Caenorhabditis elegans: one gene and its partner. The protein of the gene in region 1 interacts with the protein of each later gene in a pairwise test. Each region holds a gene or a part of one and is shown on either strand. Other genes may lie near its edges. The genes, in order: math-34 and alh-8.

What was found.
Region 2: the proteins of math-34 (region 1) and alh-8 interact in a two-hybrid assay, tested with the Caenorhabditis elegans proteins (one large-scale study listed by BioGRID).

What each region holds. Positions count from the first base shown.
Region 1 is NC_003280.10:1,026,729-1,034,200, reverse strand, and holds math-34 (MATH domain-containing protein), read right to left. Parts: upstream 5,230-7,472; 5' UTR 5,215-5,229; coding exon 5,114-5,214; intron 4,990-5,113; coding exon 4,600-4,989; intron 3,645-4,599; coding exon 3,496-3,644; intron 3,453-3,495; coding exon 3,283-3,452; intron 3,186-3,282; coding exon 3,078-3,185; intron 3,022-3,077; coding exon 2,734-3,021; intron 1,034-2,733; coding exon 976-1,033; intron 932-975; coding exon 780-931; intron 733-779; coding exon 604-732; 3' UTR 536-603; downstream 1-535. Other genes in the region: M01D1.12 (F-box associated domain-containing protein), read right to left, coding at 6,476-7,231.
Region 2 is NC_003280.10:11,727,456-11,731,903, forward strand, and holds alh-8 (putative methylmalonate-semialdehyde/malonate-semialdehyde dehydrogenase [acylating], mitochondrial), read left to right. Parts: upstream 1-1,599; 5' UTR 1,600-1,623; coding exon 1,624-1,650; intron 1,651-1,810; coding exon 1,811-1,867; intron 1,868-1,921; coding exon 1,922-2,094; intron 2,095-2,141; coding exon of another isoform or gene 2,142-2,151; coding exon 2,152-2,659; intron 2,660-2,717; coding exon 2,718-3,167; intron 3,168-3,221; coding exon 3,222-3,578; 3' UTR 3,579-3,743; downstream 3,744-4,448. Other genes in the region: F13D12.5 (uncharacterized protein), read left to right, coding at 47-434, 482-581, 629-871; F13D12.8 (Col_cuticle_N domain-containing protein), read right to left, coding at 3,771-3,964, 4,222-4,368. UniProt on the Caenorhabditis elegans protein: Probable malonate and methylmalonate semialdehyde dehydrogenase involved in the catabolism of valine, thymine, and compounds catabolized by way of beta-alanine, including uracil and cytidine.

The DNA of each region.
Region 1 (7,472 bases):
CTACAGTAATCCTACAGTACTCCTACAGTACCTCTACAGTACTACCACAGTACCCTGACCATATCCCGCCACTAACCCCAAAGCAATATCACTTCAAAAGACAAAAAGTCCATTTTTCCCAAACTACAGTAATCCAACAGTACTCCTACAGTACTCCTACAGTACCTCTACAGTACTACTACAGTACCCTGACCATATCCCGCCACTAACCCCAAAGCAATATCACTTCAAAAGACAAAAAGTCCATTTTTCCCAAACTACAGTAATCCTACAGTAACCCTACAGTACCCCTACAGTACTACTACAGTACCCTGACCATATCCCGCCACTAACCCCAAAGCAATATCACTTCAAAAGACAAAAAGTCCATTTTTCCCAAACTACAGTAATCCTACAGTAACCCTACAGTACCCCTACAGTACTACTACAGTACCCCGACCATGTCCCCCCACCAACCCCAACCCATGATCCCTTCCACAGCCCGAAACACCTTTCAAGTGTGACGTCACCGACTACAAACTACAATTGTAACATCCCCCATGTATTTTTTTATATATAAGTAATGATAAATCACAAGAGAATTTTCTCAAATAAATCAATAAATTATGACTTCAACTCCAAGGCTCTAGTTATCAAGGCCTCCAGCAACGGCCTGTCCAATCCGCCGAGCTTCAAGTCGCTGACAATCTCTGCGATTTGTTCAGATGTCGTCATATTTGATAAGCAGTGATTCTGAATTTTTTTGATTTTTTTTTCCTTCAAAATGAAGTTCTCGCTACCTTCAAATTATCCAAATTGAACTCCATTGCGATTCGGAGCATCTCACTTGTAGATTTTTTGGATTTCGACGTCAAAAACTCCTCGCACTGGTAAATAGTTATCAGGTCTTCTTGTTCGGTGGCAGATCTCAACTTGGTGTTCACATTTTCGTCTGTAGAATGTACTGTGCAAGTAATAGGGTGATCAGGAGCTTACCAGTGATCGCAGGGCTTTTCAAAGTGTCATTTTTCAGCTGTTGTTTCGATTTTAGAGCCTGAAAAATTAATGGGGTTATTCCTGTGATATCGAAAAATTCAAAAATGTAATTTTACATTTTTGACATTTTTGGCACATTTTTTGGCATTTATCGACATTTCCCCTACATTTTTTGACATTTTTCTACATTTTTCTACAATTTCCGACATTTTTCTGAATTTTTTCGCATTTATCGACATTTTTCTACATTTTTCTACAATTTTCTACCTTTTTCTACATTTTTCGACATTTTTCTATCAGGTTGTCCCATAAGTTTTTGTACTTTTTTTCAAATATTTTTCCAAAACTTCTAGAAAGTTTTAAAATTTTTTCATCGTAGGTCGTGTCAAGGTCGGGTCGTCCCCTTTCAGAAAAGATTCATTTCATCCATTTCTACTTTGCCACGATGACAATCATCAAACTTGAACGTCGAGACGTTAGATTGCTTCTTCTTTATGAATTTCGTCTTGGTCATTCAGCAATGGAAGCGGAACGAAACATATGCGGTGCGATGGGTGAGGGAGCACTCTCTTATAATACAGCAAAGAGTTGGTTTCAAAAGTTCAAGAACGGCGACTTCAGTCTCGAAGAAATAGAACGTTCTGGGCGACCGGTAGAGTTAAATGAAGAAGACCTAGTGAAGCTGGTGGAGGAAGAGCCTCGTCTTAGTCTTCGTGAAATGGAAGAGAAGCGTGAGTGTTGTCATAGCACAATTGCACGTCACTTGGGTCGCCTTGGTTTTACTTCAAAACTTGGAATTTGGGTGCCTCATGAACTTTCGGCATCACAGAAGCTCACTCGGGTCAACGTTTGTACTCAACTTCTAACTTTTCGTCGAAAGTTCGATTGGCTGAACAATCTGGTTACTGGAGATGAGAAGTGGGTGCTCTATGTTAACCATTCCAGAAAACGTCAATGGCTTCCGATCGGTGAGAAAGGAATACCGACGCCAAAGCCTGATCTTCACCCAAAAAAGATTATGATCTGTGTCTGGTGGGGTGTTCAAGGACCCGTGCACTGGGAATTGTTGCCAACTAATAAAACTATCACTGCTGATTACTATTGTGCCCAATTGGACCGAGTTGCAGAAAAGACCAACGGAAAATATGAAAAACTATATTTTCTTCACGATAATGCTAGGCCTCATGTCGCCAAGAAGACTTTCCAAAAGCTGCAAGATCTTGGTTGGACTGTTTTACCGCATCCACCATATTCTCCAGATCTTGCACCAACCGACTACCATTTGTTCTTGTCTCTCAGTGACTACATGCGCGACAAGCAATTCGACGACGAAGAGCATCTCAAAACTGAACTCTCCACTTTCTTCTCATCGCGTTCGCCGGATTTCTTCTCCCGTGGCATCATGATGTTACCTAGTAAATGGCAACAAGTGGTGGACACTAATGGTGAATACTTGTGTGAATAGTACTACTTGTCGCTTGAGAGAAATAAATTTTTTTCAAAAAAAAAATAGTACAAAAACTTATGGGACAACCTGATACATTTTTCGGTATTTTTCGACATTTTTTCTATATTCGTCGACAGTTTCCCCTACTTTTTTTTTGACACTTTCCCCTACATTTTTTCGACATTTTTCGACATTTTTCGACATTTTTATACATACATTTCTCGACATTTATTGACATTTTTCTGAGCTTTTCGACCTGTCACTGACTAAGGCTGGCTCCTCCTGAGAGCTTACCCAGACCAAAAGCTCACCGATTTCAATTCACGTTCCATGTTAACCTCCGCGCGTTGATCAGCCTCCTTCTCCATCTTCTCATTCATCAGTGTCAGCTGCTTCACAACATCACCAAGCGTTCCAATGTCAGAACTCAGATCTTTATTCCTTGTATCCAAGTCTTTAATTCGTTTTTGAACTGTGGTAGATCTACCAAATTTGCTTCTAACTCCAATATCAATTATTGATCCTGCTTTCGAATTCTCATTTATCAAGTTGTCGGGGATTCTTAATTTTGACTCGAAATCCTCAAGTTCTTCTGGTTTCTGAAATGGAAAAAAATTACGGAGACCCGGAAAATGTCGGTCGCAGCATAACTTACATCATCATTGATTCCAGAAGCATCTAGTGTTCCTGCTCCTGAGTTCTCATTTATCAGGTTATCGAGCACTTTCAGTTTTGATTCGAAATCTTCAATTTCTTCTAACTTCTGAATCAAAGTATGGGAGATTGTTCACCTTTTCTATTTCAGCGCCCGACTCCTCCCGGGTTACCCGGAAAATGTCGGCCGCATGACTATGACTTACATCGCCCTTCAACGTCTGCTGCTTTGGAATGAGGACGGAATCGATAACATTAACACGAGCTTCAACCTTCAATGCTCCATCGACAAGAAAATCACCAACAGACTCCCAGTCAAAGATCTCTTTCCCCTGAATGCAGTACTGTCCGTAGATTTTTGACTCGAACACGGCATCTGAAAAATTTCTATCATGGAATCCTTATTATGAATGACCCACCTTTCAACTTTTTGGCGAATCGATTTCCATTTTCCGATGATATAACCAGATCAATTTCTGCTCGAAGTTTGCGGAAATCTTGACCGAACTTTTGTCTCCAGGTTATGCCGACGCCAATATAATCATCCCTGCGCATTAAATGGATCCTCCTGAAGTACAGTTTAGATTACTGGAAATCGTGTAACAGTCTTAAAGGAAGCAAATTGATTTGTCGAAAAAAACGGCAAATCGGCAAATTGCCGGTTTGCTGATTTGCCGGAAATTTTCATTTTCGGCAAATTGCCGGTTTGCTGATTTGCCGGAAATTTTCATTTTCGGCAAATTGCCGGTTTGCCGTTTGCCGGATATCAGATTTGCCGGATATGTTTAGAGGGATTTTTAAAAGACGGAAACACCTAAAACTGTGTCTATTTGAATTTTTCCGATTTTTTTTACACATTTTCATAGAATTTGTTTTTTTTTCAAAATAGATGTAGGAACATTTATAGGATGCGCACAATTTGGCCGATTAAAACATATTCGGCAAATTTGCCGATTTGCCGATTTGCCAGAAATTTTCAATTCTCGAAATTTCCCGGTTTGTCGATTTGCTGGAAATTTTCAATTCCGGCAATTTGCCAATTTGCCGATTTGCCGGAAATTTTCAATTCCGACAATTTGCCAGTTTGCCGATTTGTCGGAAATTTTCAATTCCGACAATTTGCCGGCTGGCCGATTTGCCGGTTTGCCGATTTGCCGGAATTTTTCAATTCCAACAATTTACCGATTTGCCGATTTGCCGGAATTTTTCAATTCCAACAATTTACCGATTTGTCGAATTGCTGGAAATTTTCAATTCTCGCAATTTGCCGGATTGCCGATTTGCCGGAAACTTTCATTTTTGGCAAATGCCGGTTTGCCGATTTGCCGGAAATTCTCAATTCCGGCAATTTGCCAGTTTGCCGATTTGCAGGAAAAAATCGTTTGCCGCTCATCCCTGGTCTAATGTGATAGAATTAAAGGCTTTAGTCTCAAATGTCCTAAAGCTAGAGTACTTTTAGAAAATGGGCCTAAAAGATAAAATTCTGAAAATATGGGTCTCGAAGCGATAGGGGCTTGACTCACCACCAGTAGTTCAAATGTGACCCCTTCTCGCTGTACATTTCGTCCCCTGGCCTCATGAACTCTATATTCTTAAAAACATTCTCCATCTCAAACTCGCCAACTCCGGACTCTTCAACTTCCAGACCCCCCAGATGAGCCTGCACCTTGATCTTCCCATCCACCAGGAAATCATTCTCGATGGACTCCCATCCAACAATTCGCTCGATTTTTCTGTCAACTTCTGACTTGTCAAACTTGAAGCAGGAGCCATCGAATTGTTTTGCCCAGCGATTTCCGTTGAGAGATATTAAAATGAGTTTTAGATTTGTTTTCACTTGCTCCACGTTTTTCTTGCTGGAGCACTCCAAGGAAAGCCACAAAGAGTCCTCGGAACGGGTGATGCCAAGTGTCCTGGAATATTAATATGACTTGAAATTTGAACTTTAATACTGGGTAAGCCATAATTACAGATAAAAAAATAATTTTTTTTTTGATTTTTGATATTTGGTAAAGTTTGAAAAAAATATAATAATACCATTTAAAGTCTCCAAAGCTCTCGGAGTTGCCTGTCAAGGAAGCGTTATCTTCTAAGCCGTCAACATATTCAAATTCATGTTGCAGAAGGAAATCTGCCATTTTTACGGGAGCTCTGAAAAATGATGAGAACTGGATTAGCAATGAACCCAAATTCAAAAAAAGAATAAAAAAATCGCCAAAATTTCATCTTAAAAAATAACTTAACAATAGCAAGAAGTCACAAGGAAACATAAAATATTTAATAGATAGGAGTTCCAACAAAAACGAAATGACAGGAGAAACGGCGGTAAAATGTGCTTATCAGTTTCAGTGATCATTTCACGGAACTATCAGTCAACAAGGTGATGGGAATTTTTTGAAGTTATCAGAAATTTGACGGGAAATTAAATTTCTGGAGTAATATTTTTAGCGGGAAATTTTTTTTTCAGGAAAAAAAGTTTAACCGGAAATTCAACTTTTACTGAAGAAAAATTATGGCGGAAAATCGAAATTTAAAAAAAAAATTGTGGCGGTGTGGTTTTTTCTTGTAATAAAAATATTAGAGAAAAAATTTTTGGCAAGACTTTTCAAATTTCAAAGTTGTGAGAAAAAATTTTGGCAGAAAATTCAAAATTTTCTGAGAAAGCATTCTGATAGAAAATTAAATTTAACTGAAAAAGAATTCTAGCGGGAAATTCAAATTTTTGAGAGAAATTTTTGATATGAAATTATTTTTTACGAAAAAGCTTTAATAGTTTTAACCCGAAATTCTTTTTTTTTTTTGAGAATAAATTTTGTCGCGAAATTTAAGTTTTAATAAGAAACGTTTTTGGCAAAAAACTAATATATATATATATATTTTTTTTTTTTTGGGCTGAAAATTCAAATTTTCTAACACTGAGACAAAATTCTGGCGTAAGCTTCAATTTTTTAAAAAAATGATTTTGGCAGGAAATTCAAGTTTTCTGAGGAATTTTTCTAAGAAAATCTTTTGGCGGGAAACCAAATATTTATTCAAAAAAATTATAGTGGAAAATTGAAATTTTCGTGAAAAGAACATCAAGGGGAAATTTAGCTTTTTTGAAACAACAAATAGTGGCGGGGAATTAATTTTTTGAGAAACAATTTTTGCAGAAATTCAACTTTTTTGAGGAAAATTTTTTTGGCGGGAATTCAAAATGTATGAAAAACCATTTTGGCGGGGAATTAAATTTTATTTTAATAAACATTTCTGGTTTGAGATTATAACTTTCTGAAAAAAAAGTCTGCGGAAAATTCTGAGAATCTTATTAAAATTCGACAAAAAAAATAACCGACAATAATTTATTTGAAAATTGATAACATCTTCCAAATAAAATCAAAAAATTAATCAATACAATTATCAACTTTGAACTAATTCATCATACCGCCAAACTCTCATCTCAAAAGTTAAATGTTGCACTTCCACCTCATCATACCACAAAACGATCGTAGCTATCGTTCCATCCGCGTTTTCAACATCTACGCCACCCTTCAACTCCACAATTTTCTCATGTTTCCAGTGATAACTTCCACTATGGCCATTGATCCGATAGGTGCCACGAAGAGCACCCGGACCCGGTCCATCGTGAAAATTAATCCCTTTCAATAAATACCAGTAAGTCATGAAATGTTCTCTCAAATCAGTTGTTGCATTGATTGTGAGATACTCAAGGTTCGGGTTGGATCCTCGTATCCAATGCTTCATGAACAGGTTGAAATCCTTATCGGTGAACGGTGAAGTGTTCGGGATTTTTATACAAGAGCTGCCGCATGAGAGAAGGTCTTCCAGGGTGAATAGAAGAGTTGGCTTAAGAACTAGTCTGTCGAGGTTCTGAATGAAAACTTTCTGATAATCCTGTGAGTCTCTGTACAGACAGTTTCGAATTAGAACTTGATTCGCAGATGGTAAGTTGGCCCAGAAGAGCTTCGAAGCCAATTCATCGAATCTTGGGGTTGCCGATGAGAAATCAACAGCTAAAAGCCTTATGTCAATCCCCTCCAGAACCCTTGTTAGACCTTCAATGTCTAAATTCCTGGAGTCCAAGGGAGTTGTGAGACTAAAATCGATCCTCTGAATCGCCAGCACATCCATCAAGAATTCGAGCCAAGATCTCATGGTTTCCGGGTGAACACATTCACATGGTGACCGTGCATTGATATTTTTACAAACTGAGGAATGTCAAAACTTGGCACAAAGCATCGGCATCTATTGTAGAACTTCAGCCACACTCGTTTGTTTCCAAATTTCATTTTGAAATTGAAGCCTTTTGCGAAATTGAGCCCACTCGAGTCGACTTTCAGGTGGAGCGATTTTACGATTTCTTTGGTGGCCTCGGAGCATAAGGAGAGGGCGAGCC
Region 2 (4,448 bases), about 11 Mb from region 1:
ACTTGCTTAATAAGCCTGCCTTTTAATCATAATTTTTTATTTTCAGATCGATTCGACAAGCTGCACATCGCAAAGTACACTGGCCACGCTGTGAATGGACTGTTCGATTGGGTCGAGGATCCATACACCGATGCAGTTTACTACAAGGAGCGAATTAATGGCCACGTGGAGATGTTCCAAGCAAAAATCAAAGATGTCGTGCCGATTATCACCGGAAAAATGGCTGGACGACGAATCGAAAATTCCTTGTTGAGCGGCGAACTCCAAGGTGTCTCGAACGGAGTATTCTACGAGACGAGTGTGAGAGATGTCAACGAAACGCATCAGACCCTGTCCTCAACGCTGACAACACTCGATTCGGAATGGAGTATCACTTGTAACGCGGAGACGATTTACAGTGTTGTTCCGAAGACCAACAAGCTCCTCATCATCAGGTTTTGAAGAAATCATCGATCTTCGAATTTAATATTCATAATTTCAGGGCCAACGATTATTGCATGTTGAGAGATGGAAAGAATTACAACAAGGAGAGCTGTGAAAACGAGCAGGCAGACTACCTGGCTCGCAATAATCCGTCTGAGGTGAGCTGGTTGTGTTGAAGAAATTTATAAATTAAATATATTTCCAGACCGACAGCAATGTGAACGCGATGATGTGGCTGATCGTGTTCTGCGTCGTCTTAATCCTTCTCGTGATTCTCCAGTGCGTCTACATCTTTTGGCTCCGATCGTCCTTTGTCTCGGCTGACGAGGCCTCTCATCATCAGGATCAGGAGACTGAAGCCTCCATCTTCATCGCGAAACAGCGCAGCTTCCCAGCGAGTTTCCATGAGCCAGGACTTTTGGATGTCTCCGTCGACAAGTGGAATTAAATCATTTTTATTTGAATTTATAGCATTCTCGTTCTTTTTCAATCTTTTCTAGCCTTCTATCCTTCTAGACACTAGACACTGTCATATTCTCATCTCATAATTTTTAATTTTTTACTTTTTTTTTTGTCACATTTCCTAGCACTTTCTGTTTCTTTTTTTTATATAAAATTAAATATTCCGCATTTTTATTTGTTTTAATTAATGATCTTTATCTTAACGTTGTTTATTCACCAACACTATTTTATTTTTGTATTCGAGTTTTCGAGACGCATCGATCACGTTTCTCCAAGTGCACACGGGTCAAATGGTGGGCAGTTGCAGGTCTCTCCACGTGCTGTGGCCGTCTCTTAGTCTCTTGCACTATCACTTTTCCCACTCTCTGACTCTTTTTTATTTCTTTTTCTTCTTTTTTTGCTGAGAGAGAGAGAAAAGCAACTGTTCTTCTTCTTCTGTCCTATTTGCCACTCCTCCCGTCGTCTTATCAACAGCATTGAAACTTCAAAAACTCGCAGATAGAGCTTTTAACCTTTTAATTTTCAATGTTCGCGTGTATTTTGTGGCTTATTTTATTTATTTCTTAGTTCAAAATTCGAAACGTGATCAGTAATGTTTAGTTTTCATTCATTTCGCATTATCCGAATCGTCAGAACCACCACGCGACCGCCCATCTCTTGTGATTTTCAATTTTTCTTCTCGTGCGTTTTCAGTCATTATCTTCTAATTTTCAGCTCTAAAACTTGCGGTACCCCAGAATGTTGTCTCGTCTTGCTCGTGTTCAGGTAGGAGTTTCTTTTTATAATATTTTTTAACAAAAAATCGTGTACTTCACACATCACTTGCAGTCTGTGCGACAGTTGTCGTATGGGGTGACACATTGAAAAAGAAAACGAAAATCAAACAATCAAAACTTCAAAACTTCAAATAATATTCTAATTTCAGCCAAAATGCCAACAGCTCGCCCACTTCAGCACATCGAAGTCTGCTGCCGCCGCACCAGTGAGTTTCAGGCTTGATCTTAAGTTTCCAAATCCAAATTCCATAATTTTTCAGACTGTCAAGCTGTGGATCGATGGACAAGCTGTTGAATCGAAGACCACCGACTTCGTGGAGCTCACCAATCCAGCCACCAACGAGGTCATCGCTATGGTGCCAAACGCCACCCAAGCTGAGATGCAAGCCGCTGTTGACTCGGCCAAGAATGCCTTCAACACCTGGAAGAACACGTGAGTCTTGAATCCCGTGTGATCTTTTTTTTTTATTTCAATAATAGAAGTTTCCAGATCCCCACTGACCCGTCAACAATGCATGTTCAAACTTCAAGCCTTGATCAAGAGAGACATGAAGAAGCTCGCTGAGAGCATCACCATTGAGCAAGGAAAGACCCTTCCAGATGCCGAGGGAGACGTCAGCAGAGGTCTTCAGGTCGTCGAGCACGCTTGCTCCGTTCCATCCCTGATGATGGGAGAGACCCTTCCAAATGTCTCTCGCGACATGGACACCCACTCCTACAGAATCCCACTTGGAGTCACCGCCGGAATCTGTCCATTCAACTTCCCGGCTATGATCCCATTGTGGATGTTCCCAGTCGCCTTGGCCACCGGAAACACTATGGTCATCAAGCCATCCGAGCAGGATCCAGGAGCAGCTCAGCTTCTTGTCGAACTTGCCAAGGAGGCCGGAGTTCCAGATGGATGTGTCAATATTATTCACGGACAGCACTCTGCTGTTAACTTTATCTGCGATAACCCAGATATCAAGGCTATCTCATTTGTTGGAGGAGATGCTGCTGTAAGTTTTTTTGAATTTGTTTTTTATGAACATTAATCAATTTTCATGATTTTTTCAGGGAAAACACATCTACGAGCGTGGAGCCAAGAACGGAAAGCGCGTCCAATCCAACATGGGAGCCAAGAACCACGGAGTCATCATGGCTGATGCCAACAAAGAACAGACCCTCAATCAGCTCACCGCTGCCGCCTTCGGAGCCGCCGGACAACGCTGCATGGCTCTCACCACCGCTGTGCTCGTCGGAGAAGCTCGCGCCTGGCTCCCAGAACTCGTCGAGAAGGCCAAGAACTTGAAGGTCAACGCTGGATGGAAGCCGGATACCGACATCGGACCACTGATCTCCAAGCAATCCAAGGCCCGTGTCCTCCGTCTTATCGAGAGTGCCAAGAAGGAGGGAGCTCAGGTTCCACTTGATGGATCCAATATCACTGTTCCAGGATTTGAGAATGGAAACTTCGTGGGACCAACGATTCTCGCTGGAGTCAAGCCAAATATGACTTGCTACAGAGTAAGATTTTGTTTTTTTTTAAATTTGTTTAATTTAATATTTAATTTTTTGTAGGAAGAAATCTTCGGCCCAGTCCTTGTCGTCATGGAGGCCGAGAACTTGAACGAGGCCATCGAAATCATCAACAACAACCCATACGGAAACGGAACGGCCATCTTCACCAGCAACGGAGCCACCGCCAGAAAGTTCACCAACGAAGTCGATGTCGGACAAATCGGAATCAACGTGCCAATCCCAGTTCCACTCCCAATGTTCTCGTTCACCGGCTCGCGTGGTTCATTCCTCGGAGATCTCAACTTCTACGGAAAGGCCGGAATCCAGTTCTACACTCAATGGAAGACTGTCACTCAATACTGGAACGAGTCGCTCACCGAGCTGAAGCCACAAATGTCGTTCCCACAGCTCAAGTAAATTGAAATTCTGTGAATTCTGAATTCTCTCATCCATCCCCACACACAATCACTTCTTGGTTCTTTTATTCTTGTTCAATAACGTTTATTGCCATGGTTTTTTGCAACCTCTCATTTCTTGTTTGTTCATATATAATACACATTTTATCATAAAAGTGACGATTAGACCCGTAAATGGAATGGGGGAAAATAATCACAGTTCAGAGAGAATCGTATTCGAATGATTGAAATCATAATCAAAACGTGGATAGTAACTATTCGGATCGGCAATCTGTTTATCATTCCGTTTGGAACGAGCCGCCGTGGGTTCGTCGATTTCCAAATCCGATTCCTCATCCTCCTCACTATTTGAAGTTGGATCTAGCGTGACGGCGATTATGATTATACCTGGAAAATATAAAATATTATTGGGACGTAGAAAAAATGCCCAATCAACGTGAAAACGCCCTCCACGGCAAATTGAAAACGCTCCGCCTCCTAACCGTGGGTCTCATTAGGTATTCTACCAAAATTCAGCATTTTCAATTAGCTTCAAGTGGTAACTTTCAAGTTACCAGTTTTTCCTAACGAGACCCAACTATTTGAGGCGGAGCGGTTCCAATTGGCCGTGGAGCGCATTTTCTGCGTCTTCATAATAATCTAACCTGTGATAAGAAGAGCAACACTGATAAGTGATACGATAAGCACCAATGCTACCGAAACGGACATCGACTGTGGTGCATTGTTGTTGAATGGACTGGCGACCGTCGGCGACGGGATCGCGCTGTCCAGAATTCGGCGGGCTTCCTCGTCTGAAAAAATATTTTGAGGAATATTGTTGAATTTTGTAATTTTTTCACCAAAAAATACGGTACTGCTAGGGTCTCGACGC